Arabidopsis thaliana: one gene and its partners. The protein of the gene in region 1 interacts with the protein of each later gene in a pairwise test. Each region holds a gene or a part of one and is shown on either strand. Other genes may lie near its edges. The genes, in order: AT3G19460, AT3G29270 and YLMG2.

Evidence for each region.
Region 2: the proteins of AT3G19460 (region 1) and AT3G29270 interact in a two-hybrid assay, tested with the Arabidopsis thaliana proteins (one large-scale study listed by BioGRID).
Region 3: the proteins of AT3G19460 (region 1) and YLMG2 interact in a protein complementation assay, tested with the Arabidopsis thaliana proteins (one large-scale study listed by BioGRID).

The regions. Positions count from the first base shown.
Region 1 is NC_003074.8:6,745,667-6,756,250, forward strand, and holds AT3G19460 (Reticulon family protein), read left to right. Parts: upstream 1-1,640; 5' UTR 1,641-1,933; coding exon 1,934-1,997; exon of another isoform or gene 1,998-2,246; coding exon of another isoform or gene 2,247-2,262; coding exon 2,263-2,443; intron 2,444-2,690; coding exon 2,691-3,004; intron 3,005-3,092; coding exon 3,093-3,238; exon of another isoform or gene 3,239-3,324; 3' UTR 3,325-3,663; downstream 3,664-10,584. Other genes in the region: ATCAD4 (GroES-like zinc-binding alcohol dehydrogenase family protein), read left to right, coding at 271-498, 586-1,025, 1,116-1,339; AT3G19470 (F-box and associated interaction domains-containing protein), read left to right, coding at 4,100-5,248; AT3G19480 (D-3-phosphoglycerate dehydrogenase), read left to right, coding at 6,924-7,434, 7,517-8,004, 8,081-8,176, 8,313-8,984; NHD1 (sodium:hydrogen antiporter 1), read right to left, coding at 9,209-9,328, 9,453-9,747, 9,840-10,142, 10,256-10,317.
Region 2 is NC_003074.8:11,228,702-11,239,423, reverse strand, and holds AT3G29270 (RING/U-box superfamily protein), read right to left. Parts: upstream 5,252-10,722; 5' UTR 5,084-5,251; exon of another isoform or gene 4,187-5,083; 5' UTR 4,099-4,186; coding exon 3,307-4,098; 3' UTR 2,966-3,306; downstream 1-2,965. Other genes in the region: emb2076 (Pentatricopeptide repeat (PPR) superfamily protein), read right to left, coding at 1-1,003; AT3G29280 (uncharacterized protein), read left to right, coding at 1,477-1,480, 1,561-1,719, 2,022-2,095, 2,189-2,268, 2,382-2,560, 2,652-2,719.
Region 3 is NC_003076.8:7,236,921-7,247,154, reverse strand, and holds YLMG2 (YGGT family protein), read left to right. Parts: upstream 1-4,274; 5' UTR 4,275-4,389; coding exon 4,390-4,695; intron 4,696-5,072; coding exon 5,073-5,275; coding exon of another isoform or gene 5,276-5,279; intron 5,280-5,314; exon of another isoform or gene 5,315-5,558; coding exon 5,559-5,805; 3' UTR 5,806-5,954; downstream 5,955-10,234. Other genes in the region: PAA2 (uncharacterized protein), read right to left, coding at 25-104, 519-585, 787-892, 1,069-1,178, 1,470-1,538, 1,680-1,790, 2,159-2,323, 2,412-2,498 and 4 more; AT5G21910 (uncharacterized protein), read right to left, coding at 6,028-6,366; AT5G21900 (RNI-like superfamily protein), read right to left, coding at 6,817-6,939, 7,061-7,216, 7,297-7,372, 7,462-7,623, 7,721-8,157, 8,236-8,916. UniProt on the Arabidopsis thaliana protein: Not required for the biogenesis and accumulation of native cytochrome b6 in the thylakoid membrane. Not functionally involved in the pathway for covalent binding of the c-type heme to cytochrome b6.

The DNA of each region.
Region 1 (10,584 bases):
ATACCCATTATATGATGCATGTTGTTAAATGACTTTTGTGGTATGACAGAAGATTTTGGTATAAAGTTGACTTGACATTATTGTTAATTTGAAGATAATTGAACGTGCTACTGTTACACATCTGACATTCGTTTATAACCACACCTGTCACTGTTTAGTCTTCTAAATTAATATGCAAACAAAAAACTCTGTCAATGTGGGACTTGTAGGGGTAACTGAAATATACGAGTAAGATTCCGTAATAACTAAAAGTGTAATTTTGATTTACAGGCACGAGGTAGTAGGTGAGGTGTTGGAAGTGGGATCAGATGTGAGCAAGTTCACCGTAGGAGATGTAGTCGGAGTCGGCGTGGTCGTTGGATGCTGCGGTAGCTGCAAACCATGCAGCTCAGAACTTGAGCAGTATTGTAACAAGAGAATCTGGAGTTACAACGATGTCTACACCGATGGAAAACCTACTCAAGGTGGCTTCGCCGACACCATGATCGTCAATCAAAAGTAAGCACACGCACACACCTTGTTTCACAAGAAACACACAGAGCATTTGTTTCTTCATCCACAAGTAACTTATTTTTGTTTCAAAAGGTTTGTGGTGAAGATTCCAGAAGGAATGGCGGTGGAGCAGGCTGCACCGCTACTCTGCGCGGGAGTAACGGTTTATAGTCCGTTGAGCCACTTCGGTCTAATGGCGAGTGGGCTTAAAGGAGGGATTCTAGGGTTAGGTGGAGTAGGGCACATGGGTGTGAAGATAGCTAAAGCAATGGGACACCATGTGACTGTGATAAGCTCATCAGATAAGAAAAAAGAAGAAGCTATCGAACATTTAGGAGCTGACGACTATGTGGTGAGCTCTGATCCAGCAGAGATGCAAAGACTCGCAGATTCCCTTGACTACATCATTGACACCGTACCGGTGTTTCACCCTCTCGACCCTTACTTGGCTTGTCTTAAACTCGACGGGAAATTGATTCTCATGGGTGTTATCAACACTCCTCTTCAGTTCGTGACCCCTCTCGTCATTCTTGGTCAGTACTATTTCTTGCGTTTAAATCATATCTAGCTAATAACAACAAAATTCAATAGCAAACCTGATGTTTTTTTCTATATTTTGACAGGGAGGAAAGTGATATCAGGGAGCTTTATAGGGAGCATTAAAGAGACAGAAGAAGTGTTGGCTTTCTGCAAAGAGAAAGGGCTTACGTCGACGATTGAAACTGTGAAGATCGATGAGCTTAACATTGCGTTTGAGAGGCTTCGCAAGAACGATGTTCGTTACAGATTTGTGGTTGATGTTGCAGGAAGTAATCTGGTGGAGGAGGCTGCAACAACTACAAACTAAAGAGGGCAGGGCACATTGATACATGAACGAAAAATTGTAACGGGCTTGTTTGTCCAACGAATGTTTTGTTGTTGTCTTTTTCAAATGGTTCAAACACGAATGCTTTGGCTTTATTTTTTTCTAATCAATGTGGATTTTCTGTTTACGTGTGTTTGTCACAAGAAAATCATTATGATAAGAATTTTCTTCCACTTGAACTCAAATTTGTTAACAATTCTGAATCTGAATTATGGCTGACACCAATTGAAACTGAGAACCAGTTTAAAGTGATTATAAAGAAAAGTGAAATCTTTTTATTGCCAACCAACTTTGGGCTAAGTATTAAAAGAAAATAATACTTTTTTGATAAGAAAAAAAAAAGAGGAAAATAATTTGATTATAATTAAAATCTAAAAACTTTTTCGCGGAAGCGTTAAGGAAAAATCTTTGATCTTTGGAAAGGAAGAGAGCAGGCGCAATCGAGTAATCCAAAGGAGTTGCGTTGTTCTGCGATCACGAAGCGGTCTCTCGGCAAATCTTTCGACGCAAGACATCGATTCGTGTATTTCATTTTTGCTTTGGAACTCTATGCGGAAGAACCCTAATTGATTCGCCATGGGAGATTCCGTTTCTTCTTCATCCCGCGTTTCTGTTCATCAATCTCTTGGTGCTGGTTCTGGTCAGTCTCTCTATTCGATTTATTGAAGCCTATTTTGGCTTTTCTCGAGTTTCGCTTTCGATTCAATCGCTCTAGAGTTTCGCTCTATTCGGAATCTGGAATGTTGCGTTGATTGGCGTAAATTGAGGGTTTTGTTTGATTGTTATGTGCATTTGGGGAATTTTTAAACTTGATCATAATTATGAACAACAATTTCACGTATTTGGAGACATTTAGGAATCTCTTGACTCGTGACTCTTGTGTCCTTAAATGCAATTTTTTGCAGTTGCTGATTTGCTGCTATGGAGAAACCGGACTGGTGCAGTCATTTTGCTAATCTCTTCTACTGGGTTTTGGTTCTTATTCGAGAGAGCTGGATACAATCTCTTGTCTTTCGTCTCCAATGTTCTGCTTCTTCTCGTTGCGATCTTCTTCTTATGGGCCAAGTCTGCTACAGTTCTCAACCGGTAAATCTCTGCTTATTCTATTCACTGCATTGTTGTGGAAAAAGATGAAACCTTTATGCGGCATTGATGGATTGTGTTGATAGTAGAGCTTGCATTAGCTTCTTCTTTGTTAAGTTACTGCTTCACCATTTGAAAGAGACTATTTTGGAGCATAAAAGCTTATGAATACTGGAACTTTGCTTTGACAACCCGAGTCATGTGTGTTTTTATTCTTATAAAGTATACAACTGATGTGGTTTTATTTCAGACCGCTACCTCCAGTTCCGAATATGGAAATCCCTGAGGAGTTTGCAAATAAGGCTGCTGATGATCTTCGGGTTTGGATCAATTATGTACTGTCAATTGCAAGTGATATCACCATAGCTAGAAATCCGATTCGTCTCCTTCAGGTTTTCTTTCATCACTTGTGGCAAACCATTTGTTGTATCTTTTTGTTTCTGCATGTGATGTATCTCACTGTTCACATCTCGTTTGTTTTTGCTGTGAAACAGGTTTCTCTTGTCTTGTGGGCTATATCCTATGTTGGGACTTTAATCAACTCCCTCACTCTTGTTTACATTGGTGAGCGTCTAACCTTTTCTTGTCGGTTATATAGTCTATGATCTTGGTTGATATGATTAACTAATGTGTCGCTGTTTTTATCTTGCAGGAGTTCTTCTCAGTCTTTCTTTTCCTATTGTGTATGAGAAGTACCAAGACCACATTGATGAGAAAGTGAACTCGACTTCTAAATTCGTTCGAAATATCTCAAGGAAGTTTCCATTGCCCATAAACAAAGAGAAGAAACATCAGTAGGTAGTGTAAGTAGTCTCTGATGAATTGATCCTTTGTGGTCCGAGAAAGAGTTAGTTTTCGACTGAGGTTTTACTGAAACGCTGCAGGTGAAAAACAGTCCATTTGGTCACCAGACTAATTACAGCTACAAGAAGGAGCCATTACTGTAATGCTACAAGAGGATAGTCAAAGAGCAGCGGAAAAAAGTGAATCACAGTACAGATTTTCGTTCATTTCTTTCTGTTTCGCTTACTAGGAGTTTTCTTCTTGTGTGTTTTTGTTGTGTTCAAGATTCATGAGTTTCTGGTTTTTTTGGTCTTTTAGTTTACACGAATGCTTTGTTGCAGTATTGTTCCAGTAGAAACGAGAAAGATGAATCTAATACAACTTGAGAGGTTATTCAATAATTAATTTGTTGATTATTAAAGATTACAGTTACAGTTTCAACCAAAACAAAATGTGATATATGTGCCTAGTCGTCTTATCTCTCTCTCGTTCACATTGGATAGGCTTTTGGGCTTTTAAAGTCCACTTTCAGTGAACATGGACCCGATTGAGCTTTATGGGTTCTTGTTTGTTTGTTCTGTCGGTCGTGATTCCTGAGGATAATTGATCTTTTCTTCTTTGTTAACCTAAGTTATTTGGGATTTGCTCTTGTTTTGTTCTGTCTTAATCGAATCCTCAAGGGATTGTGCCGTGACTGCCGTCTTCAATTGTTTTATATATATCGAGAGGCCGAAGAAATCTGTAATCACAGACAGAGGAAAAATAAGAATAAGGTGCAGTTTTTTTGTTCTTTGTTGTTATTTAAGAAGATTAACGTAAATAGTTTCCGACATTAACTAGTTTGCGTTACATTGGTCCTGGTTGATAATGAAGAAGATGTACAATCTTCCAAGAGATTTGCCGGAGGAGGTGCTCTGTAGAATTCCGTTGACATCTCTGAGGCCTGTCCGATCTACTTGCAAAAAGTGGAGCACTTTATCCAAATGTGGGAGCTTTGCAAAGAAGCACCTTGCTCAAGCAAAAGTACTAGCAGACGCAAAGGAGTTTATGGTGGTCTTGATGATGAATTTTAGGGTTTATTTGATGAGAGTCAATCTTCAAAACAACGTTGTTGAATCATCATCATCATCATCATCATCATCATCATCATGTATAAAACGTGAAGCTAAACTTATTAGCTTAGGCGATGAAGAAGCTGATATATCTCAAGTCTTTCACTGTGACGGTTTATTGTTATGCATCAGCATCACCGAATCCAAGACTAGGCTCGTTGTTTGGAACCCGTATTGGGGGCATACCCGGTTATTCGAGCCCACACATCAATTCAACAAATTCGATAGCTATTCGTATGCTCTCGGATACGACAAGAGCCGCAAATCCCACAAAATCTTGAGGGGTATTACTTGTTTGGATCCCTTCAAAATCTACGATTTTAACTCTGACTTATGGAGGGATCTTGATGTAACTCCGGAGTGGCACTTATGGCAAATGCTCCATGGCGTGTCTCTCAAGGGAAATGCCTACTGGTTTGCTAGAGAGAATTATACCGAAACAATGGACACAGACCATTTTTTCTTACTCTGTTTTGATTTCACAAGCGAGACATTTGGGCCGCCTTTGCCTCTTCCGTTTGAGTTTGCTGTTTCTGAAGATACTATGAGTGTATCTAGTGTTAGAGAAGAGCAGCTTGTTGTATTATATCAGCCGTGGGATTATTTACAGTTGGACATCTGGGTGACGTCTAAGATTGAGCCCAACGCTGTGTCGTGGAACAGCAAGGTGTTCTTATCAGTGAGTTTAAAACAACTCGTCAGCCCTCAGTTTCAGTTAACTTTTGGGAGTTTCTTCATCGACGAGGAGAAGAAAGTCGCTGTGGTTTTTGATAAAGACTACGATAATAAGCGCAACATAGCTTACATCTTTGGAGTGGATGGATCCTTTAAAGCAGTTGATCTCGGAGATTCAGACCGAAAGTGTTTTCCACTTGTGTGCTCTTATGTTCCAAGTCTAGTGCAACTTAATTAGTCGACCATCTATTCCTTGCTTACTTTTTTTCTTCCTCTTTTGTCATCTTCTTTGAACAAGATCATTATTTGTTAGTCAATAACATATTAACTTGTTTCTCATACTTGTTTTTGTTTGCCATATATATTTGAATTCGTTTCCAAATGGTGCACACGCTCCTTCCCCTGCAGCTAATCGTTTGTTACTTTCAGTCCCCTTAAGTTGGAGCAAACTGTATGCTTCTTGGTTGGCATTCTCCGCGAAAGCATGCATCGTTTCTTCCAAGAGTCTTTAGGTATTGATAGTTCATCGTTTTCTTTTTCTATTGTAACACAGTAGCAGTTAAAGATAAGTCGAACGGGTGATCTTTTTGTTCATTAGACAAAACTAGAGAGGTTTCTCTTCTCTTTCTTCTAGTAAGGAACAAGGCTAAGGTTAATAGATAGCTAGCTATCTGAGATATCTCACAAAAGCTTTCACTATGGCCCTGTACTATATCAACTTCATATTTTAGGTGTTTCATATTTCAGATAAAATGTGCTCATATCTTCTTCCTCTTTGTTCAGCGTCTTCTGCAAAAGTGATATAGATCTTGACATGCTGCTAAAATACCTCTTGATATATTTAGTTTTTCTTACCAATTTAAGTTATAGCATAATCCTTTTATCATGTTAGTTATTGTTCTATCCTAATTGTCTAGCATGGAGTAGAATGATTTTGAAGCAGGGACTTGTAGAACGATTTTTCGTGTGCCACAGGTTTACTCCCTTCCTTAATGTGGTGACCAGCGCTTGTCCTTGTGGTCTGTCCACTCATTCTGCTATCTTTCAACGAATATCACAAAATAATAGTGGTTAGTATGTCTCATATGATTACCTTAAATTTAGCGGCTACTGACTGATGAATCATGAGGCTTTACGCTACTACTATTTCTCTTGTGTTCCACAAGGCGTTTCCAATACTTGGTGATATCCTCCAACGACATCTGCCTAGTATTTTGACCTTGCCAGTTGCCAAATCAATTAATAAACCCTTCACCAGAAGATTCTTACTACATCAAACAATAAATAAAACTAAAGTTTGACTGGAAGAAGAGTTTTGGAACGTTAGACAAATTTTCAGCATTTGACGATATGAAAGATGTCTAAATCTAAAGAAACAGAGATACAATTCTTTCAATATTATATACTTGCTAACTATCAAGAACAGGCATGAAAAAATAAAAATATTAAAAAAAAATACATATTACTATATAGAATTCATATGTCATCGATAACTTTTACATTATTTTTTACAATCCGCCTTACTTAAACGCGCCTTATCTAATAGATATATAAATGTATCTCTATTTATATTATAATTTAATTTAAAATCAATATAAAAAAATGTGTTTTTTCAATTTTTAAACCACATAACCTAATAGTATAATATTTGATATATTATTATTTTGTTTTAAGAATGTAGTATATTTGTATTTTATTAGCAAAACCATTATTAAATTGTAACTTTTTTTTCTTCTATATAAAGTTTCAAAATCCACTTAAGAAGTGAAGATATAAGTGAACAAAGGATGTAGCGTAATCTAGCACAACATATTTAAACCTCACAAAACCCACCCGAAAGATGAACCCATATCTCTCTACTCTGTTGCTGACGATACATACACCTTTACTTACATTATATTCCCGCCATCGCGATGGCGACGTCTCTGAATCTATCATCGATCTTCTCCTCCTCCTCAAGGCTCGTCACCACTCCCTCCTCTGTTTTTCCCATCCGTCAGAGGCGACGGATCATCCTCGTTACGTCTTCTTCTTCCGGAGGTGGAGGAAAACCGACGATTCTCGTAACGGAGAAGCTAGGCCAAGCGGGGATCGATCTGCTTAAGAAGTACGCTAATGTGGATTGCTCTTATGATCTGAGTCTCGAGGAGCTTTGTACGAAGATCTCTCTTTGTGATGCGCTCATCGTCAGGAGTGGTACCAAGGTTGGGAGAGATGTGTTTGAATCGTCGCGTGGGAGGCTTAAGGTTGTTGGACGCGCTGGTGTTGGGATTGATAACGTCGATTTGGCGGCGGCGACTGAGTATGGGTGTTTGGTTGTTAATGCTCCGACTGCGAACACTGTGGCTGCTGCTGAACACGGAATTGCGCTTTTGACCGCCATGGCTAGAAACATTGCTCAAGCTGATGCTTCTATCAAAGCTGGTGAGTGTTTTAAACGGTTGTTGAATTTGAATAGCGATTTGAGAAATTGCGATGTGAAATGTAGAAATGTGGTTGTTTGTAGGCAAATGGACGAGAAACAAGTATGTAGGTGTTTCACTTGTGGGGAAGACTCTTGCTGTTCTTGGTTTTGGTAAAGTTGGATCAGAGGTTGCTAGACGAGCCAGGGGACTTGGTATGCATGTCATTACACATGATCCTTATGCACCAGCGGATCGTGCACGAGCTATTGGTGTGGAGCTTGTTAGTTTTGAAGTAGCTATTTCAACTGCTGACTTCATCTCTTTGCATCTGCCTCTTACTGCTGCTACTTCGAAGATGATGAATGATGTGACCTTTGCGATGATGAAGAAAGGAGTCCGTATTGTTAATGTTGCTCGTGGTGGAGTTATTGATGAGGAAGCTCTTTTGAGAGCGCTTGACTCGGGTATTGTTGCTCAGGCAGCTCTTGATGTTTTTACAGTAGAGCCACCTGTTAAAGATAATAAGTTGGTGTTACATGAGAGTGTCACTGCCACACCTCATCTTGGTGCTAGTACTATGGAGGCTCAGGTATTACATACTGTATATTCGTTTTGCCTTTAGTGCATTTTGTTCTGCTCTCCTGAAACCTTTACTTGACGCCTAGGAAGGAGTGTCTATCGAAGTCGCAGAAGCTGTTATTGGAGCTTTGAGAGGAGAACTTGCTGCTACCGCGGTCAATGCACCAATGGTTCCACTAGAGGTAATTTCAGACTTCACTATAGAGTCCTTAATTCAGGATCAAGTTTCATTCTTCTAGTTCTTGGTGATATTGCAAGTAGTGATAATGATTTGTCCTGCAAATTCTCTGACACTGTTCAGTTGCTATCTGTTTTCAGGTATTGAGGGAGCTGAAGCCGTATGTTGTACTTGCTGAGAAGCTTGGGAGGCTGGCTGTACAATTGGTAACTGGTGGAAGCGGTGTGAATGCTGTGAAAGTGACTTATGCTTCTTCCAGAGCTCCTGATGATCTCGACACTAGACTTCTCCGAGCCATGGTCATAAAGGGGATCATCGAACCCATTTCCAGCGTATTCATAAATCTGGTTAACTCCGATTATATTGCCAAACAACGTGGAGTCAAAATCTCAGAAGAACGTATGGTTCTAGACGGCTCACCTGAGAATCCAATTGAATACATAACTGTTCGGATAGCAAACGTGGAATCAAGATTTGCCAGCGCTTTATCAGAGTCCGGTGAGATCAAAGTAGAAGGCAGAGTGAAACAAGGGGTTCCAAGTCTTACCAAAGTCGGATTATTTGGAGTGGATGTGAGTTTAGAAGGGAGTGTGATTCTGTGCAGGCAAGTAGATCAGCCTGGGATGATCGGTAAAGTTGCTAGCATCTTAGGAGATGAAAACGTCAACGTGAGCTTCATGAGCGTCGGTCGAATCGCTCCAGGCAAGCAAGCTGTGATGGCAATTGGAGTAGATGAACAACCAAGCAAAGAAACTTTGAAGAAAATCGGAGACATTCCTGCCATTGAAGAGTTTGTTTTCCTCAAACTATAGGTTAATACTTTACATGGATGCACATAAGAAAAAACTCAGAGATCGATATAATCTTAAATGATGATTTATTCTGTACTAATGATACAATCGAGTGTACATGAAACAAATTACATAGTTGATTTTTTCCAAAGCGGCATGTCGACGAAGTGATGTGTTATTGTTGCAGCCAGCCAGGGATTTTTTCTTGTTTTCTCAGAGAGAAGAAATACAGAGATTGATGGAGCCTATGAACCAGTGAGAAATGGGATCTGAGCCACAGTTGTTGGGATCTCGAAATGAAGATTATGAACGGCCAGATAAGCTGCGATACCAGCAGCATAGCCAGCAAAAGCAAAACCACTAACCTGCATGGAGAAAAAAAAAAAAAACTGAGTTTCTTGCGCAGAGCCACAAGAGTATTGAGTTTCAGTCTGGTTAATGCAATGTTGTGTTGTTGATCGTTAGACAAGCCGGAAGAATGTATCTTACCTTTCGGAAATACCAAAAGAAATCGACTTTCTCCATCCCCATGAAGGCTACACCAGCAGCAGAACCAATGACAAGCATCGAACCACCAGTGCCGGCACAGAATGCAATGAGCTGCCAAAATTCAGAATCTTGAGGGAACGATGTGAGATCATACATCCCCATAGTCGCTGCAACCAGTGGAACATTGTCTATGATTGCTGATACAACACCGATAGCACTTGCAATGAGCTCAACGTTGGGTATATTGGCATCAAGGTAGTTTGCAATCTCCCGGAGTATCCCAGCTGCCTCAAGGCTGGAAAAAAGGAAAACAACATCAGAAAAGATTGTGAATTCTTAAGAGTAATGGAACATAAGGAGTTTGGAGATGAACAGTTGATTTAATACCTGCTTACGGATAAAAGAATCCCGAGGAAAAACAGAGCACCTTGTGTGTCTATTCGAGATAAGGCTTGAGGTACTTTGAGCTTTTGTCTTTCTGATTCACCGTAATGAATGGCATCTGTCAAGATCCAAAGAACTCCAAGACCCAACAAGATACCCATGTAAGGAGGCAATCCAGTTAGAGCTTTAAAGACTGGAACAAAAACCAATGCTCCAAGGCCAACTCCAAAAACTAGCTTCCCTCTTGGAGCCATCTTTTCAGAAGCCAATACATCTTTAGGATCCTGTTCCTTTCCATTTACCTCACTGAGAAAGAAAAAAAACTTACATCAATTAGCATATACATTGCAAACATTTACGAGACAGTTGAAGCCAAACATAGTCTCCTTTTTCGTTTGAGGATGCAAGAAGAACTTAACCTGGTCAAAGACATGAGGGCTAGTGGAACAGCAAGAGACACAACCGAAGGTAGAAAAAGGTCCTGAAAGGAATGTAAGTAAACCTCCATCAAGAACATCAAAGTTGGAGTGACCAAATAGGGGAATACTTTAACCACTTTTGTCTATACAGTTCAAAACACTTAGAGAGCATGCCGAGTAACAAAACCAGCTGTCGTACCATGATCACGATCAGAGGCTCCAACAAAAAATTACGACATTAAGTAACTTCAGAATCACTGGTGCTTTAGCCAACCTTTACTTTCTTATTCTTTCTGAGTCAAATACAGGCAACTCCACAAATTTTCAAT
Region 2 (10,722 bases), 4.5 Mb from region 1:
CTTTACCCGCCTTTCCCAGCGAGTTTATCAAAGTATTGCAAGCTACAAGATTAGGCTTCATCCCTTTCTTTAACATACTCTGAAATATCTTTAAGGCCAAATCCCATTTTTCCTCCTTTGTACACGCACTTATCATCGCATACATTGCATCCTCTCTCAGAGATATCTTGTTGTTAACCATCTCATCATACACATCAAGGGCCAATTCACTTCTCCCACACCGAACAAAAATGCTAACAAGCAGAGAATATGTAATCTCTGTTCCAATATGACCATCACCTTTCATAACTCTCCATATTCTCTCTGTCTCATACACATTATTTATCCGTCCACATAGAGAAATCGCAGTATTATATAGAACCACATCAAAACAACTCCTACGTTTCGGCTCCCTTTCTAGTTCTCTAAACATTCTTAATGCAGACTCGCAACCCTTAACTTCTGCAACAGCTTTCAACATCAAACTATACGTGTGCCCTGTAACATTCTCCTTTTTCCTCATGAACTCAAAGACGGTAAAAGCTTTCTGAATATCTCCATTCCTCAAGAGGCACGAGAGAAAAGAGTTACAGGCATGAGCATTAGGTTGTAAACCCAAGAATCTCATAGAATCAAACAACTCCAATGCGCTTCTGACTTTATCCAACCTGCTAAGTTTCCGAAGCCTCTTCGATAAAGTTTCTTCGTTCCGCTCCTCTAGAAAATGTATCCTATTCCTATCCCCTGCAGTCTTCTCCTCCAGTTCCAAACCACAAACCACATTTTCACCGTTGAAAGAACTGTCTAATTCACTACTCACCTTCCTGAAACACATGTTTGGTGTTGCCAAAGAAAAAGACTCCATTTTTACACCTAGACGCCTTCGTTTAGGCTTCATGGTCAATGTAAAGTTCAATGAGTGACTCAAAGACCAATGAAAAGTTCTCAAAACACAAGAGCTCTGCTCAATTAAATAACATCCACAAACCAATTGAGAGACATGACTCAACCAGACAGCTCCCATGATAATACAGTGAAGAGCTAAACGCAGCAATCTCTAACACCTCCAATTTCAACACCGAGCAGAGAGAACTTGATCTTTTAGCATAATTCAGACGAAATCTGAGAAACCATTTCCTATTCAACAAAAAGTTGACAACTTTAGTAATACCCACTTCAAGTCTAAGCAAACAACCCCTAAATTTCCTTAAACAAAGAACATAAGCTACGTAAGAACCAGTACCTAAGACACGAAACCAAGCCAAAGCTCTGTTCTTTTCGCAGAAATGATGAATCAAAGCTTGTTCTGTGGCTGAGGAAGGAGAAGAAGATACATCAGAGACAGAGAGTAAACGACGTAGTTTTAAGCTTTGAAAAGAGAAACGACGTCGCTTAAGGATCTTAAAACGTTCTCGATTTTAAGTAGTTGAAAACACCCTAAAGCCGAACACTTTGGTAGTGAATTAAAGAATCGATTTCTCTCTCTCTCAAGCAACAATGGGTAAAAGTTTCTGGCTTTATTTCGAAACTGTTTCTTTTTTGTTGAATGATGTTGTTGTAAAGGAATTGGTGTAATTGCAGATGAAGGAAGAGAAGGAGAGATAGAGAAGAAGAAGAAGAAAGATGAAGAAGGAGAAGTGAAGGAAGGAGTAGCATCAATAGCTTTGTTACCATGTGGGACTATCTCTGGTCATTTCATTCAGATGCCTAGCTCTATCTGTTATGGCCTCCATGGCACTGGTAACTTCAAATCTCTTCTTACTAGGGCAAACCAAAAAAATGTGGTCTTTTCTCTTTGTTGAGTTTGATTCTGTTTTGCAATTAGATGTTTTGTGTTCTTGCTTGGATTTGATAGAAATGTTTGGTTCTCAAGCATGTAAATGATTCAGATTAAAGACTTAATCTTGCACTAGTTACATCTATTGATACTGGAATGATTGATAAAGATCCAATGGCTTAGTTACTGTGGCAATTTTGACATGACATTGCTTGATTTCACTGCAATTTGTTGTATTATTGATGTTGCTTTTCTCTGTTTAAAGAACTAGCTTGTGAGACTGAGTGTAGCCGCGGTGAGGATTATCGGTTGATCAAACTCACTATCATAGACTACAATGTATGATTTTCTCACTTCCTTTTGTGATTCTTAACTCTTAATTTCCAAAACCATGATATTGAGTTTGTTCCTTGGTTTCTTTTGGTGAAAAAGAGAAAGAAGGAACAAACAGTTGTAGTGGAGTGCAAAGGCCATGATGCTGCTCGAATTAATGATGTCGAGCATGCTCACGGGTAAGTTGTCCTTGTTCTCGTATCTGTTATGCTCTTAGCTTTTCGGAGAAAACATTCGAATGAGTTGAATTTGAAAACCTTTTTGTGAGAGTCTTTTACTGTCCTATGTTTAGTGAATATGACTACTTGTCTTTGGAAAGGTGGGAGGAAGATGTGATAGGATTAGTCGAAGAAAAACACGGGAAGAAGAAAGTATCGGTTTCGTTCGAGTGTGAGACATTGAAGGCAGATGAAGCAGCAGAGGACCATATCAGACAGTTTATGCCCAAATTAGCTGGACTTGATGCTGTTAGTAAGTAAAACCAACACTTTATTCTTGTGCCATTCTCATTACATTTATGTTGTCTTGTTTTGTTGAATCAACACACCGGGGTTTTTGCCAGTTAACATTGGACCGATGAAGATTTCCGGGCTTGATTTTGCTGCGGTGGAAGAGGGACACATAAACTAAGACAGCTTAACTCTTTCTTTTTGTGTATACATCATATTTGAATGCTCTTTGAGTCTTTGTTTCATATCGTAGAACACAATTAACGCTTTAAGCTCAAATGATCTAGACTAGAACTCATAGAAAACATAAAAGAGAAATAACCGAACCGAAACCAAACCGAAAAGCCGTACACCCACCCCTAATTTTGGGTGTCATCTTTTGCTTTCTTCTATGGAAATGGGTGGAACAAACAAACAAAAGAAAAAAAAACCCATACAATTTAGTCATTATATATAAGAAAAATCAATGCATTTAGTTACGCAATTCCTAAATAACATTGCATAAACTTTATATACATAAATCTTATTGAGACACTCAAACACTCACAAACAAATCCACAAATACTAATAAGTTTCTGCAAGAGCCCTTACAACACATACGTCCAGCTTCGTAGAGCAACAATGCAATCCAAAACTACATCCATATATAGATAAAGAAGACGGTAATTACGAAATTGTTATACTTACATGACCGATCTTGGGTCTCAGTTGTTGAAGAAAAGTCGTCAAATTAGGAATGGGAAGTTTCTGAACGCATCCTTAGAAAGTTCATGTGACAATCTCTCGAACAAGCCAGTCGAGACAAGGATAAGCGAAGTAGAGGATGAGAAACGACGGTAGAGCCAGCAAGAGAGTGACTAGAATGTACATCGCCAATATGGCTGCACTGGTCGGTATTGCATAGAGTATTATCAGCAGAAATATGACAACTAATGGGAACTTTGCTGTCAACTGGACAAAGAAAACCAGAGACTTCCTCAGTGAAGTTTGTATGTTGTCCCTTGGAATGCGATGATCATTAACAGAACGTGATGGTTCAGGTTGACTGCGATGATGGCGATTGTGGAGACATGGAGATGGAGTTTCCCTTGTATGATCATTGTTTCCATCTGTTTGAGCTCCACCAGGTGAGTTACGTCTCTCTCCATTCATCCTCTCGACCATCCAAAGCACAAAGTAGTTCTTGTGAGGGAATCTGAGTGTTCCTCTGAAGACCAGACGGAAAGACAAAAGGTTGCACCAGGGGCATGAAATGAAGAGAGGAAGCTGAACCGGGTGAGTAGGCAATTTCACAATAGCCCATTGAAGTCCCAAAATGCAGTTTTTACACATCGTATGTCCACACCATAACACATACGGAACGTTTTCAACTATATTAAATGATTCCCAGCATATAGGACACTCGAGACCTTCGTCTTTACTACCTACAGAAGATACATCGTCATCTGAACACTCCGCATGAGCATGGACCGGTCTTCTGATATCGTTTTTCGGTCCAATGTTTCCCGTAAGATAACTCGATGCTAGATTCCACATTCTAGTATCAGGGATGGATAACATGAATACCTTGTTTGTCACTAAGACCTAACCAGTTCTGCTAATACTTAACTCTCTGACCTTCATGAACACCGAACTCGATGCTTCATCGCTTCATAAGCAAAGAGAAAACACATATTAATCCTTCAAAGACAATCCCAACGACACACCGATGCAATTCCAACTAAGAATCAACTAATAAGATTAAGTGCTACATTGAGCAACCATGGTAACACAAATCATTAAGAACCTACTATACAGCAAGATTCAATTTTTATGATCAGAATCGATATTCGAACGCTTTAACTTGTATTAGAGCTCAAAGCTCGACAATTTCATCGATAAAGGGGACTCTTTTATCTTTGAGCCAAGTTTACTCACCGATGCAATTCTAACTAAGAATCAACTAAGATTAAGTGCTACATTGAGCAACCATGGCAACACAAATGATTAAGCAACTACTATATAGCAAGATTCAATTTTTATGATCAGAATCGATTATTCGAACGCTTTAACTTGTATTAGAGCTCAAAGCTCGATCATTTCAGCGATAAAGGGGACTCTTTTATCTTTGAGCTAAATTTACTCACAGATGCAATTCTATATCAGTAGCAACCAACTAATAAGACCAAGATTTAGTGATACATTAAGCAACCATAGCAACACAAATGATTAAGAAAACCCTAAATAGAAAGTTTCAATTTTTATACTCAGAATCGAAATCAGACTCTCAGACTTGTATTAGACCTAAAGCTCAATCATTTTCAGCAATAAAGATGATTCCTTTATCTCAAAGGTTATGACTTTATCCGATACAGAAGATCCCAATATAAGATTAAAGGAAGAAAGAGAAAACCCTAAAATCAAAATCACTAAATGAGATAATTGATCACAGAATTAAGCAGCTAACGAAGTAATCGAACCTAGATAGATAATTGAAAGGACAGAGCAATCAAATGGTTCACAATAACCGAAACTAAATCAGAGTGATTTAGATAAAGATTCGTACCGATTCGACTCTGCTCTGAGCTTTTTGTTTCGTACGTGAAAGAAGAAGATGCTTGATTCGATTTTTCCGGCGAGACCTAAACTTTCTGGGTTTTGTTTTGCTTTCATAAACGACGTCGTTTCAATCGTGTACCCAAGTTTTCCTTCCAAAAGTGTTTTTGATATTTTCTAACGTAAAAACTTGGTTAGTTGTTTTTTTATAAACATAATAACATTACCAACCAAAACATTTACGCTTATTGAAGATTAAGTAAACCTCTGAAAAAATAAAACACAGAGCGGTTAATTTTATTAATATAATTTAATAGAATTTTGTATTATAAGTTATTTATCAATTCAATTTTTTTAATATTTTAAAAAGAATAATAATAAATATATTAAAAAGAAGAAATATGAGAAAAAGAACAATCACGAAAGAAAAATAATAATAAAAGAAACTTTACGTTGTTTTTTTTTTATCTATATGAGTGTATATAGATAAAATGCAAATGGACTTAATATGTAAATATTTCTTTAATTTTTGCAACATTCTTCTCGTCCAGAGTTCATTTGTCATTTATCTCTTTGCGATATCTTTCATGTTGTCTCGTTAAAACTTTTCTAATAAAATCCATTGGTAGAAACCACAGTAAGGTAAAAAAGTATAATCATACAAGCTCTCCCTCGAATGACTATGGACATGGGGTGCAGGATGTTCGACATTTTTTCTTGTTACCATGTAATAATCATTGAATGCTTGAGACGTAAATTCACCAACGTTATCTAATCTAACTCCTTTGATTGGATAATCAGGAAACTCAGCTCTTAGTTTTGATTATCTGAGTTAGAAATCTCGCAAATACCACATTTCAAGATGATAACAAACAAACATGTGACCATCTACTAGACATGTCTATCATTACCATGAAATAATATAATGGTATACATGGTGGGTGTATAGGTTCACAAATGTCGCATTTGACTCGTTCAAGGAATTTTGGTAATTCTTTATCGATTTTGCTTGTCGATGGCCTTATAATCAATTTTCCAAGAGAAAACGTAACACATGTCCTTTTATTTTCTTGATAAAACTCTTAGGGTTTCATTGAATGTCCATGTGAGCTTTTTATAATTTTTTGCATCATCGTGGTGCCTGGGTGACCAAGGCGATCGTGCCACAATGTGAAATCATCATGATCTCTTTTGATAACAAGATGTGATCCTATTGAATTAATGTATGTATGATGCAATCCTGATGGGAGTCTTGGTAATTTTTCCAAAACGTGTCTTTTTCCCAATTTTTCAGAAGTGATATACATGTACTTTTTTTCATTCTCACTTGCACACTGAGTGTCATATCCATGAAGGTATATATCTTTGAAACTCAACAAATTTCTTTTTGAATTTGGTAAAAATAATGCATTATTTATCGAGAACTTTGTCCCGTTAAGTAATGCAAAATTTGTTTTACCGGTCCATTCAATTAAGTCTATGGGACCTGATATTGTGTTAACAATAACTTTTGTTGATTTCAAATGAGAGAATTTTTTTTTTTGTTTTAGAATAGTGTGTGTTGTTCCACTATTCGGTATGCAAATATCTCTAAGGTTTGCCTTGGATACCATTCCATTTGTAATGTGATCCATTTCTGAAATAAACATAATCGATTAAGGTAAGTAGAAAATAAATTTATTAATCAAGCATATAACACCCGATAATTATACATGATAGGTAACACAAGCACACAATAATTACACATGATAGGTAATACAAACACACAAACTTAGGAAATTTCAAGCAAGCGTCGATTTATTTATGACATATTAATTCGAGCCCCACACGATAGAAATTTCAGTTTTCCACAAGGACAACCTCATCGAGATCATTAGCAAAGTCAGAAGCATCAAGGTGGGTTGTACCCTCAGAATGTTCCGCAAGGTTCACTTCCTTTCCTTTTCCCTTAACAGATTTTTTGTACAGAGCACAAAGGTGTGCTGGAGTTCGGCATACCTGATACCGATGTGCCTTAGGGTCACATCTGAAACAAGCACTGTCACATTTTTGAAAAGTATTTGCTTGGATTTCTTTTCCTTTCGATTCATGCTCAGGACGAATCTTTTGGTATGACTTCCTGGTTTGTGGATTAAAGCCTCTTCCACGTCTGTGATAGCTTCGGCGCCCCGTCCCCAAAAAATTTTGTTTTCTCTAAGCGGATTTTTAACATCCAATGCATTAACCTCAGGGAATGCCTTTGATCCGGTAGGTCGGGACATGTGATTCTTGATTAGGAGCTCACTGTTTTTTTCAGCTATTAAGAGTGCCACAATCAAATTTGAGAATTTGGTATATCCACGCAACCTATATTGTTGTTGCAAAGTAATGTGGTTTTTGTGAAACGTGGTGTACGTTTTCTCAAGCATCTGAGATTTAGTGATAGTTTCACCACAATATCTCAGTTTGGCGACAATTCCCAACTTGGCAAAATTGTAGTTCATTACCTTGTCAAAGTCTTGAAACCTTAGACTTTGCCATTCGTCTCGGGCAAGTGGGAGAGTGATGTCCCTTTGGTGATCGAAACGATCTTTCAAATATTTCCGGAATTCTTTAGGATCTCTCATGTGTGCATAGTCATATATGACACTTTCATCCATTTGTCTTATAAGGAAGATCACCGATTTTGTCTTTTCTTGGGCCGTCGAAGAATTATTCTCCTTTATAGTCTCCGTTATCCCAAGGGACTCCAAATGTATCTCAACATTAGTAAAACTATGGTGAATAAAATATTAAATAAAATATGGTGATTAAAATCATCCATGTTAAAACTGTGAAGTAGAGTATTAAATGAAATATGGTGATAAAAATTATCCATAGAAACAATAAGGGGGGTGTATTGAAACTGTGATTTTCAAAAAATTTTGGTTTTATTACTGGTTTTGTCTATCCTTGCGAAAATCCGATATTTTGCTTCACAAGTTTCCAACTACTAGACTTGGGCATGAATACATACAAAATATGTTTGTTGAAGATCGCGATCATTTTCGACATTTGTATCGCATGTATCCAGAAGAATTCCTGAAATTATGCAGTATATTTTAAGTGAAGATGGGTTTAAGAGATACAATGAATGTTTCAGTTGAAGAAATGCTTGCTTCCTTTTTGTTCATCATTGGGCAAAATTTGAGGTATATCCAGGCTCAAGATAGATTCAAGAGGTCGAGATTCTCAATAAGTACGAGCTTTAATACAATTTTGAAGGTGTTAAATGTATTTGCACCAAGCTATATGGCTAAACCTACACTTGTAGTGCCCACGAAAATAAAAGACAACACAAGATTTTATCCTTATTTTAAGGTACGTGGTTATTTTTTTTGTGTTTATTTCTTTTAAGTATTGTAAATTTTAACCATTAAGTTTGTTATTTTCTTAGGATTGTGTGGGCGCTATTGATGGAACACATATCCCTGCAATGATAACAGGAAAAGAAACAGCTAGTTACCGTAATCGAAAAGGACAATTATCACAAAATGTTTTGTTGCATGCAATTTTGATTTAGAATTTATATATGTTCTAAGTGGATGGGAAGGTTCAGCTCAAGACTCAAAGGTATTAGATGATGCCTAAACAAGAAACACAAATAAATTAAAAGTTTCTGAAGGTATCTTGTTTAGAATATGACAAAATAGTTTTTTTTTGTTATTAATTTGTATTTTATCCTACTTATATTTTGTGCTTTAAATTACAGAAATTTTTTTATTTAGTTGACTGTGGATTCGCCAATTGTCGTAATTGTTTTGCTCTATTTCGAAGTACTCGGTATCATCTCCAAGACTTTAGAGGACAAGGAAAAGATCCCAACAATCAAAATGAGTTGTTCAACCATCGGCATTCTAGCTTGCGAAACGTAATAGAGAGGATTTTTGGAATCTTCAAATTAAGATTTCTTATCTTCAAATATGCACCTCCCTTTCCATATAAGACACAAGCAGAGTTAATATTTGCATGTGTTGTTTTACATAATTATCTTCGTAAGGAATGTCGTTCGGATGTGTTTTTCCTAAGAAAGATGTTCTCGAAGAAAATGGCATTGATGAAAGCGGCGATGAGAAAAATAAGCGTATGAAGAGGGTCAAGGTACTCAAGAACAACAAAGAGTACTTGCTAATAATTGGAGAGCAACAATAGCAGAAAACATGTGGACATATGTTATAAATATGGAATCATAATAATAAACATTTTATGTTATATATTTTTAGATTGTTTTTTTTCTTTTTTTATTGGCTTGTTGAGATTTGAGATTTGAAGGTGTTGATTACCAACATATCTGACTGAACGTCACCTATAATTCTAAGAGCTTTCTTTTGCTTTTTGATTGAATTATAATTTCATTTTTTTGGCTTTATTAAGATTATATGAACGTTTCTATGAGTCTTATTAGGCACATAAAATGGAATGTGAAAGGTATGTTATGAGCATTTTGAGTTTAACCCAGTCCAAGAATTATGATCGTTGATTTTCTTTCATTTTGTTGTTGTAAAATCTAACCAAATCAATCTAATAAATCTAACCAAATCACCTATGATTTTTTTTTTTTTAAATAACAACTCTAACCTATCTAACCAAATCACCAATTATTTAATCAAATCTAACCAAATCTCCAAAATATGTAACTTCCACCAAACACCCCCAAATCTTTATTCCAATACACCCCCTAAGTAAATTATGGTGATTAAAATCATCCATATTAACAAGTTAAAACAACAAATAAGATGGTACGTTAAACAAACATATAAAAGCATTATATTAATAAAGGGGCGGCAGAGTCGCGCTCCAATAATAATATAAATCAAGGTGGCAGAGTGATCGTGATGATAACATGTTTTAATTTAATAGAATTTTGTATCGTAACTCATATATCATGAAAAAGAGTAATAATAGAAAGAACTTTTACATTGGTTTTCTATGAGTGGGTTTACAAATGAATGGAAGAACAAATATATAGCACAAAAATAGACAAATATTACTGTAAGTAATAAATGCAAATGGGTTCCATATAATATTTGATACGCAAGTGTTTCTTTGACTTTTGCAACATAAACTCATTTTTTATGTCTTGAATGTATGTTGTGTATTGGACGTTATAAAGAGCGGATCATTTTTTTCCTTCTATTCATACCCATTCATACATAAGTTTTACTTTTTACTCTAGACAAAAGTAAGTGGTGTGAAATATTAAAAAGTAAAAAGAAGGGAATATGTACAAAATAACCATGAAACCGAAAAGAATTGAGTAAATGACTATAGGTAATAATACTTTATCGGAGAGGCAAATAAAATTACTGAAATAATTTTTTTTTCTCGTCTTCTCTCTGTTTTTCTTTTTCTCTATCTCTGTTTTGCCATATTCTCTCCCTCGCCGGATCTATGTCGTCAACTTCTCTTTCCTGTATGGATATTCTCTACCACTACTGACTCTGTAATAATATCACAGTGACCATGATCAAATGCCTAATTATTGTTTCCTTATTTTTATTTAATTCATGTCACTTCTTAAATTTTCATGGTTTTTTCTGAATTTTATGTAATATTTTAGGGGCTTTTTATAGATTTGGGTTCATTTAAGTTAAAAAAAAAAACTCTGAATAAATCGCTTTTTGCTGAGTT
Region 3 (10,234 bases), on another chromosome or scaffold:
TGAAGCCCAAATGATTCGCAATACCTTGTCTAAAGCCACACAATCTATGGATGCCAGACGTTCTAAAACATCTCCTCCTCTGATAAGATATCCCCGCTTTGCTCCTGGACATATTTAGGCTGAAAGTTTCAATAATCTCGAATTTATTGTTGCTTATTACAAGGTATTATAATGCTTAACTACCCCTATTAACATGAAAGATTACCAGAAGGACTGCACGTACGACACCACAGAAACTAGAAGGGAGATTCTTCATGATTTCTAGGCCATATTTAGTAATTTCATGTATGAACTAAAGTCGCCATCAACGACAGAACTTTAAAACCAAAAAATATTTTTTCATAAATCAGGTTAGTCACTAGTCAGCAGGGAAGCACAGAACAGGAACAATGGTAGCTTCAGTGTCAGTTTCGAATCTTCCTAATAATTGGAAAACTTTGCACGCAAATTAGGTTACTCTTCTCAGCTACGTTTGCAGATTTTTATGCGGAAGAGAAATAATACGCTGGATAACATACCAAGAGAGGTGCCAATTAATATGGCAGTTGGTGTTGCAAGGCCCAGTGCACAGGGGCAGGAAACTACCTGATACACACAAAAAAACGAGTTGATTATCTGCTCAATATTTTCTTTCTCCAAAATTTCTTTCTACCCGAATTTAATCCTACATTCACTTCGTGAATTCACATTTTCCCCACAATCACCATTTTCCTCCCTCGTTAAGTCCGGCTAGTCCATGATATTTTCACATGAAAGATATAGCTTTGAGATGCATGTCTCACTCACCAAGACATCCACAGCCAGTTTTAAGCTTAAGGCCAAAGCATCTCCATCAGGTCCAGCAATATCATTGAGTAAAACATCTGGGAATATGTGTGAACCGACATAATACCTGAAGCAAGAAAACATGGGTCTTTCACTTGATCCAGAACAGGTAATTGACATATGATACTTCTACATTTCTACTTTATACTATAACTAAATAAACATAGCCTTGCTAAATAAATATATGACTCTTAAAAGAAATTTCATGTTATTTCCGTTAGAAATATGAAAAGAGGACCATACCAGAAGGCAAACGTCATTGCAGATAAAGACATTATAGTATAGACGAAGGGTCCAGCTATTGCATCTGCCAGCCTCTGTACAGGAGCTGCATTACCTTGTGCATCCTCAACCTTAAAATTCAGAAAAGAAAGGGTGTGATGAATTAAAGACGCACTACAGAGGAACTGAGGGTTCTGACATGATTTCATTCATACTTTCCCGTATGAAATTAGGTTCAGCTACAAACTTGTAAATGAGTTCTATTTGTAGGATTGTGACTCATTCATGATATTTCTATTTGTTGCTGTCTTTTCTTTTTCTGTTTTCGAGGAGGAAAGTCGGCTACAAATTACATAGATTACTGGCCACACACAATGTAACTTTCATTACATTTCATTGGCTCTAGATTCATAGACACTAACCATTCTGACAATTTTAGATATCGTTGAGTTGGAACCAGTAGAAGAAGCTTTGATCCGTAGAGGGCCATCCTGAAATAGGTAAAGTGAGATTCAGTTATTCAAAAAGATTCATGATCAGTGTATGTAAATCTAACTTAGTAACTGAGCACAGTTAGTTACATAAGTAGCCTTTTAAAAAAATAAACTTTTGTTTAGGTTGCGTATACTTACCCAGTTAATTGTTCCCGCTGAAACTGAGCAGCCTTCTTCTTTAAACACCGGAAGTGACTCTCCTGTCAGCATAGATTCATCTACAACACTTCTTCCAGCTAGGACACTCCCCTATGAAGAAAGTGATTAATTTAACATAATATCACTACTAGAATCAGAACTACTCATTAACCAGTCACAAGGATTATAACCAAGCTATCTTGAGCAAGAAAAAATAATATCCATTATCACGTGCAGAGAAGAATGTGCAATTAAACTGAATCTCAAAAAGAACTGAAAGATCCACATGTTTTTTTCTCAGCACTGATAAATTGAAATAGAACTCCTAAAATTGCAGAATGATGGTTACCAACCATTTAGATAGATTTTCATAACTCTTTTCGGAAACCCACACTATTATCTTTTGCTATGATCAGACAATTCAGCATGGATAAGCAACTAGGGAAATCGTAAGATGTCAGAAAGACAGAAACACTTACATCGACAGGAAATGTCTCACCAGGCAAAACCAATAGCGAGTCTCCAACTCGGATATCATCAACTGACACATTGATGCAAATTGAATCAGAGGAAAGTACAGAATCCACTGGGGTGTTATTGTCTGATGAAGTAATCACAAGTCTTGATTGAGTGGAGATGAGTGACTGCAAAAATACGTTTCAAGTCAAAAAAAAGGGAGGAAAAAGCCTACAAGTTAATCTTGGGAGGAGAATCAAGAAATGTCTAACATACCAATAGTTCATTCATATCGGTAGATGCTTGAAGCTTTGCTCTTTCTTCCAAAGAACGACCAAGGAGCACAAAGCCAAGCAGCATGACCTGCATACTAAATGACAAGAGCTATCAATCAGAAATTTACTATTGAAACTGTATTTTGCATGTAGTGGAAGTAATAATAAAAAGCTTTCATCCTCTTGTGGATCTGCTAGAGAAACTCACCGGTTCATCGAAGAAGGAAGCATCCCACTCCAGTTCTGGATTAACTAGTGAGATCTGCAAAATTCAGAATGCAGAAACTGCAGGTTTTCAGAATAGGATACTCACCAGTCAAATATAAATTACAGGGTACAAAAACTCACCAAACTGATGGAAAATGCAGCCATGGATCCCAATCCAACTAACGAGTTCATATTAGGTGATCTTTTCCCGAAAGCTTTTATGCCATCAAACAGCAATTCTACAATATACATCTATCTGTTTCAGTCATTTGTGTTTCCGAACAGCCTCAAATATCACTACCACCACTTTGTTATGAAAGTCGCAAAGAATAGTAGGAACCATCACTATCACTTAAGAAGTTTGAAAATTCAGAGTTTCTCTCTTATGACAACGACGACTCAATTAAGCTAACCATTATCCATAAGAAGAACTGATTCAACAAAGCTCACCTATATAATCAGAGTAGAACACTAGCACTTATCTAAGTCTAAACAATAGCCTAAGAACGACTACTTTGTCATCTCTCTCTTATGATACTAATTACTAAACTTATTATGCATTAGCTGGTAAGAATCATAGATTCGAACTAAAAGTTTAAACAAAAGCAAACCTCTTCCTGGTCCCAACAAAGCTCCAACGGCCAAACCACCTTTCACGTAAGAGTTGTGTAGCAAATCCCAAATCCCTCCTAGTAACATCAGGTGCAAGAGAAAGTCATAAACTACATCTCTTATCCAACAAATGACATCTAGCATCACAATTTTTTTTGCATTATAATCAATGTACCATGAGCAATGTGAATTCCCAAGGAATGAAGAATATGCGAAGTGTGAGACCCGCAACACAGAGCCACCAATGTCCACGCAAACGCCACACGGTTCCTGCTCTTAACAAGCAAGTCCTCTTTCTTACTTACCATCTCCTTCCACTTCTTCACATTCTCCGCCACTCCCATACCCGAGACTCTCCTCTTAGCCTCAAAACCACTCTCTGTCAATCTCTTAGCTAAACTCTCTGCCGTATCCGCCGTCACCTCAACCTCCGGTTTAAACTTCACAGCCGCGGTTTCAGTCAGCATGTTAACCACAGCAGACGCGACTCGATCATCAGACATCAAAACCGATTTAACTCGGGCGACGCAGCCACCACACATCATCCCACTCACATCGAGGAGAATAGGCGTGTCGCTCGTAATGGATTTCACAGATTCGATTGAAGATTCAGTAGATTCAAATGATTGAGTACTTATCTCGACCGAGTTTGATACTAAAAAAAAAGGTCGCGAACAGTGCCGCCGGATACGAGAACGGCGCAGTCTTGGAAAGCATCGGTTCACGAGGAACTTACTTGGACGAATATGAAGACTCGATGGCGGAGGAAGAGGAAATCGGAGAAGATTGCTCGCCATTTTCTCCGGCGAGACAGACGACGATAGTCACGCGATGTATACAAGTAAGAAACTAGTGGTGGACTGGTGTATGGTTCGTTAAAAAGAGTATCGCTAAACGTTGACACGTCGGATTTGGAATATATCCGAACATTAGCCATTTTTGTGGAATTTTTAAAAAGCCAGGCTGTCACCAGAAAAATCAGAGAGAGACATAAAACGCAAAGTTTTAATAGGTAAGACCTTCTAACTCAGCTAGAGGATTACAGCCCCCGGGACACAGCGATGCCACGTGTCATCTTCCTGAAATATTGTTTTTTGTTTGGAGGTAACTTTATCTTCTCAAGCTTTCTTCTTCTACAACACATCTAGAGCTTTGCAACAATGGAGGCGAGTGCGAATGAACCAGCTATGAAAAGCTTGAAATCCAATCCTTCAGGACCGATACCGAACTTTTTCGTATCGCTCTCTTCGGCATTTACGCAAACACCTCTTGTGCGTTCGAACAAACCCAATTTGCTTCTTCTACCACCAGTTGCAGACTCCGTCAAATTGATTCAAGACTTTCATCAGTCTCTGATTTCTGCTACTGAGAAATTTAAAGGATTCCTCCATTCGCTCGCCTCTAAGAACCCTCTCTTTCAGGAAGCGGTTCGCCTATCTTCCGAATTTCACATTTTGTGCGACGAGGTAACTTCTCTTAGCCTGCTTATGCTAAAGAATGTTATGGATTAAGTTAAGAAGATGATTGTGTGTTTCTCATGAACTTGCCTTGGCTCTGATTGTTACTGTAATGGGTGAATCTTTGTGGTTTCTATTTATACAAAATGGGTCATTCTTTAACAGCCAGTAGATTGTTGTCTAGATCATTTAGCATTTATTGGAAAACCTTCTCACATTGATAACCCTGAGTTATATATGTCCTCAAGTTGGGATCTTTTTTGGTTCTTTTCTTGTAAAGATGAAACTTGGCTTCTGGATAAGTCCGGTTATGATTTTGTGTGCCTTTGCTTCTGGTTTTGGGTTCTTTATGTCTTAAAGATGAAGATCATTTTGTTGCATTGCAGATTCGTTTGAGAAACACTACAAGGGTGAGGTTTGCGATGTCTAATCACGGATTTGCAGCGGTTCTGCCTGGAGATTCAGTTGCAGGATTGGTGGTTGCTAATGGTTTGATCAATTTCCTCAACATATATAACACCATCCTTGTCGTCCGTCTAGTACTCACCTGGTTCCCGAGTGCTCCTCCTGCCATTGTTAACCCCCTCAGGTAAAACGTTGCCTTCAAATGCCACAATGATTTTATATCTTATCCAGGTTTAAAAGTTTTCGATCAATCCATGAAAACAAAATCTAGATCATAGAAGTCCTATTCGTGATTGTTGAAGGTAGTCTTTTTACTTGATTTAGAGGAAATTTATTTTGGATAAACTCTGTCTACTACTTTTTTGTCCAACTCTTAAATGGATTAAAGATTGGTTAAACCCTGATTGATCTGCCCAGGAACCCTAGTTGATTCCTATTTATGTGTATATGCGTTACCATTGTTTCAGCACTTTATGTGATCCATACTTGAACATTTTCCGGGGATTCATACCGCCTCTTGGAGGATTAGATTTGTCTCCCATTTTGGCGTTCCTTGTTCTCAACGCCTTCACCAGCTCGGCTATGGCACTTCCTTGCGAACTCCCGTCAGCTGATGGAGCCGTTTCTCCAGCTTCTAGTGAGACAAAGTGGGTGAGAAGGAGAAGGTTGAGCAGCCACAAAGACCACAGACCGAGCTCAGCTTCTATGACCTGAACCTGTCTAAAATATCTACTCTTTTCTGCGCTTCAAATGTAAAATCTACCTTTCGAGTAATTTTATTACTCTGTATCTTTGGATTTCTGAGTTTTGTATAAATTTTCTTTAGAAAATGAATAAAAGAGTTGTGTTCCTGACATACAGAAATATTGTAAAAATTTTGCAAGAGATGAGCTTTTCTTCTTCATTTGTGGCATCAAAACAACTTTCGCTCAGATTCTAACCAGAGGCTTTGCATATCAAGACGAAAACAAGAAGGATGAGGATGACAAGCAATCCACCAAACGAACCACATAGCCTGTGAATCCAGTAAGGATCAAACCTGGTCAAGCTCGGGTCACTGTACAAGGACAAGGCTATGGCTAAAATCAACAAGAGGAGAAGCAGAGAGAAGGAAAACATAAAGCTGAAGAGTTCTTCTTCCTCTTCTAGATCTTCCTCTGATAATCTGTCGATGTAGAGTGGTGAGAGCACGGCTAGTACCGACAAGCTTATGGCCAAAAGCTTCCTGGAAGTAGTAAACCTCCCCATCATCGGGCTGGATGATCCCGTTTCCATCAGAAAAATGCCAGTACAAAATATATAAAAACAACTGGTAACTTTCTTTACAATCCCCGGTTGGTGTTCATCTGAACTAAAATGGCTTGTTTCTTGGTAAGAATCTGAACACAAGTTGCAGGATTGTTTCAAAAAGCCGTTTAGATGGTATGGTTTAGCTATTTACTCAAAAAGAGAAGAGAGAAAGAAGATTCTTTCGTTTCTGGTGAACAGTTGTGACCACACACTGCTAAAAATATTCCAAGGGATCATATGCTTAAAACTTTTCTTCTCTTTCTATTAGTTCAATCTTTTTACAAAAAGCTGATTCTAAAAGACATTGTAACATTGTTCATATATCACTATCTTTTTTTCTTTACTATGAACCTGTACAACAGCTATAATTTGGTCTAACAATGAAGAAAGGTCATCAATTCAAAGCTATATATACAAACGCCAGTTGTCTACTCATCAGAAGAACTTGGCACCTACACTTGGGTAAAAGTTATCAAGGTGAGCATAGAGTGAAGTCAGTTTCAATCCGGTAATATGAACGTCTGATCTTGAAAGTTCTTCAAGATATGTATCCTCCACCTACAACGATAATACTGTCATTTAAGTACTTTTGACACAGATCACCCCAAGGTTCAATTCAACATAAACAAAAAAAGGCACCAGTGTAACCTGAATTACAGGTTTCTCTATAATATCATACCTGCGTCCATCCAAATAGCTTGAGTGATTGAAGTGACGAGCAACAACGCAAAATCCGTCTTAGGTCATCTTCTTTGAGTCTCCGACACCACGAGAGGTCCAAGAATTGTAACATCTTACAAACTTTGGCAAGCGAAAAAGCAGTCTCTGGACCAACCTGTTAAAAACAAAACTCCTCAAACACTTTCGAAAACCAACTTGAACATGAACAAGACTTTAGGTACTAAAAACACTCACATCTCGGACTTTGTTTAGGCAGAGTTCTCTAAGAGAACCTCCCGAGACTTCAAGAAACGCGGCAATACATTCGTCACTGTCAAAGTAATCCCATACATTGATGATATTCAGAACACTCAACGGATGTTATGTACAAAAAGAACAAATTGGGAGACTTGTACGAACCTAAATCTGTTACTTGTAAGTTTGAGTGATTTCAAATATCTGCAACCCTCAGTAATAAACTCTAATGACTTATCAGTCAATTTATCCAAGTCTGTGATGTCAAGAGCTTCTAGCTTCTTACAATATCTCCCAATATGCCACATGCATTCATCAGTCACCTCACTAGTTACCATTATAGAGAAAGCAAAAAAAACATTAGTTTTCAGCATAAAACTTGGTAATGAATTTGGTATATCAAGGCCTAAAAAGAGTAACTTACTTGCAATTAGCGAGAGATAGATCAGTGAGAATCGAACTACGGAACATAAAGAAACTTCTGACAACACCATCATTAACACTAACGAGTCCCGCAACCGAAAGATAGTTCAATTTCTCGAACTTATACAGGCTGCTACTAAACCCTTTATGCTTTTTAATCCCTTGACATCCACCAATACTAAGCCCTCTAAGAGTTGAACCAAACTTATCAGCAAGAATCCTCAATGCACGATAAGTGAGAAGAGAGCATTCAGTGAGGTTAATATACTGAAGCAGAGGAGATGATTTCGATATCAACAACAATGCATTGTCTGTTAAACAGAACGCTCCTTGAAGAGATAACGTAGTCAATGACGGGAATCCGTTAGGCGCGCGTTTAAAGAACTGGTTTATCGTATAATCCGTCATCGATCTTCCGCAAAGATCAAGAATCAACACCTGCAAAAGATTGAAACTTTCACAAACAAAGATTGCTACCAAAAGTACTTCTTCTATAACAAATGGATTCTAATATACCTTCAAGCTAACTCTATCACAGTCACAGAAGATCTTTACCAAGTCATCCTCCACTAATTGGACACAGTTCTTAGCGCAAATCTCACTCGGAGAATCTTCAATCAAAAGCTCCATAAGACGTGTATCGAATTCACCTAAACCACTAACAAGATACGAGAGCTTCTTCCTCAAGTGATCAGGAACAAGTTTCAAAGACTTGATAGCTAAAAAATTCTGAGCAAGAACTCTCGCACTCAGCTCCACAAGCGAAGGAGCTTTCCTTCGTACATTCAGATCTATCTCCATATCACTTGTTGTAGAGATCTCTTGTCTTCTCTTCTTGATCGATTCTTTAGCTTTTCGAAACTCACTTTTATCTTCATCTCTTATTACTTCTTCTTCTACCTCTTCCTCCGTTTTTTCAACAATCTTGAGATCTGAATGCAATTCAAGAGCAAAATGTTTCGCAGCTTTAAAATTTCTCTTAACTTCATAATCACGCCAATAATCTGAACCAGTTTTAACAACGTCTGCTTCGGTGCTTTTTCTTTCTTCCATCTCCACGTCTTGATTTTGAAACCCTGATAGGAAATCACGAGTCACAGCTTCCTCCGTCGCCATGAAAAGTGCATCGATCGCTTCTCCATCGGTGTTGATTCGACGATTTTCTCGAGAATCGTTGGGGAAATCGGAAGAATTCATCGTGTGGTTGCAGCTAGAGAGGGTTTTGTTTATGAAGACGAAAGAACAAAAAAAACAATTGGGCTAAAATCAGAAAAAAGGAAAGATATATTTATACTTTTTCGTGACGAGAGATGTATTTTTTTCAGTGGATCCCATACGGAATTGACCTTAGTAGTCAACTCCTCTCATTATTGGTTCCTTTTTCTATAAGGAAATAGTTTTATTTTCTGAAGAATGGTTATATTTTTTTTATTTAGAAACGAGTTCTATGTATTTATGTAGGCGTTAAATTCTAATTTTTTGCAAAAGAATTATGAAATTTTGGCGTTTAGTTTATTAAATAAAGTTAGAATATAGTATTTTGGGTTTAAAATTTAGTTTTGTTGAGAATCTATTTATAAAATATATATATATATATATAGTGCGGAAGAATTGATTAACAACTAAATGAAGAGTAAATTCGTCTATAAGAAAATATTGTAACGAATTTGAAGATTTTCTGTTTGATAAATATATAGAACAGCATAAGCCAAGGCCTTCTCCAACTAAGATGGGCTCATGAGGATTCCAGGCCCATTGTGCTAATTTTCTATTTCCATTACTTCTAGAGCCCATGGGCTCATGTTTCAAGAAAATGTACTACTCACTTTCAGATCATTTTTCTTCTTCATTGGTAATGTACTCAATCAGCTGTTTGGTACTTTTGAAAAGAAAATGTTTTGTGTTTGATAATTTTAAGTATATATATATATATATATTTATAATCAACACCATAAAAACACTACAAGTCTCTCATGTGCTGACACCTCAGCTTTTTCAGTTAACCACAGCTTGACACCTCATTAAAATCAACAGTCAATCAGAACATTTCGATTAATACACCTCATTTACATTAACCAATAAAAACTTACTATTTTTCCATGTCATCCTATTAACTTAACAAAATTAAAATTAGACATGGGCCTAGCCAACCAAACTATTTTCAAAACTAAAATCTGTATAAAAATATGGGTCTAAACTTCATAATCTAGAAAACTTAGACCTCGGAAAATAAACCGCAGCGCTGTACCAAACCAAAACCGATGAAAAAACTAAACCGAACCGAACAAATAATTTGAAAATAACCGCATGGATATTAAATTCTATAACTGAAACCGAATGGATACAGACCAAAATATTTTGGATAACCGAAACTATCCGAAATATAATTATATTTTTAAAATTATTAGTTATTTTTAAACCTAATAATTAAAAATAGATATATAATAGTAAAAATAGTCGAAAGTAACCAAAAATATATGAAAATATCAAAATAACCAAAATATCCAAAAATATT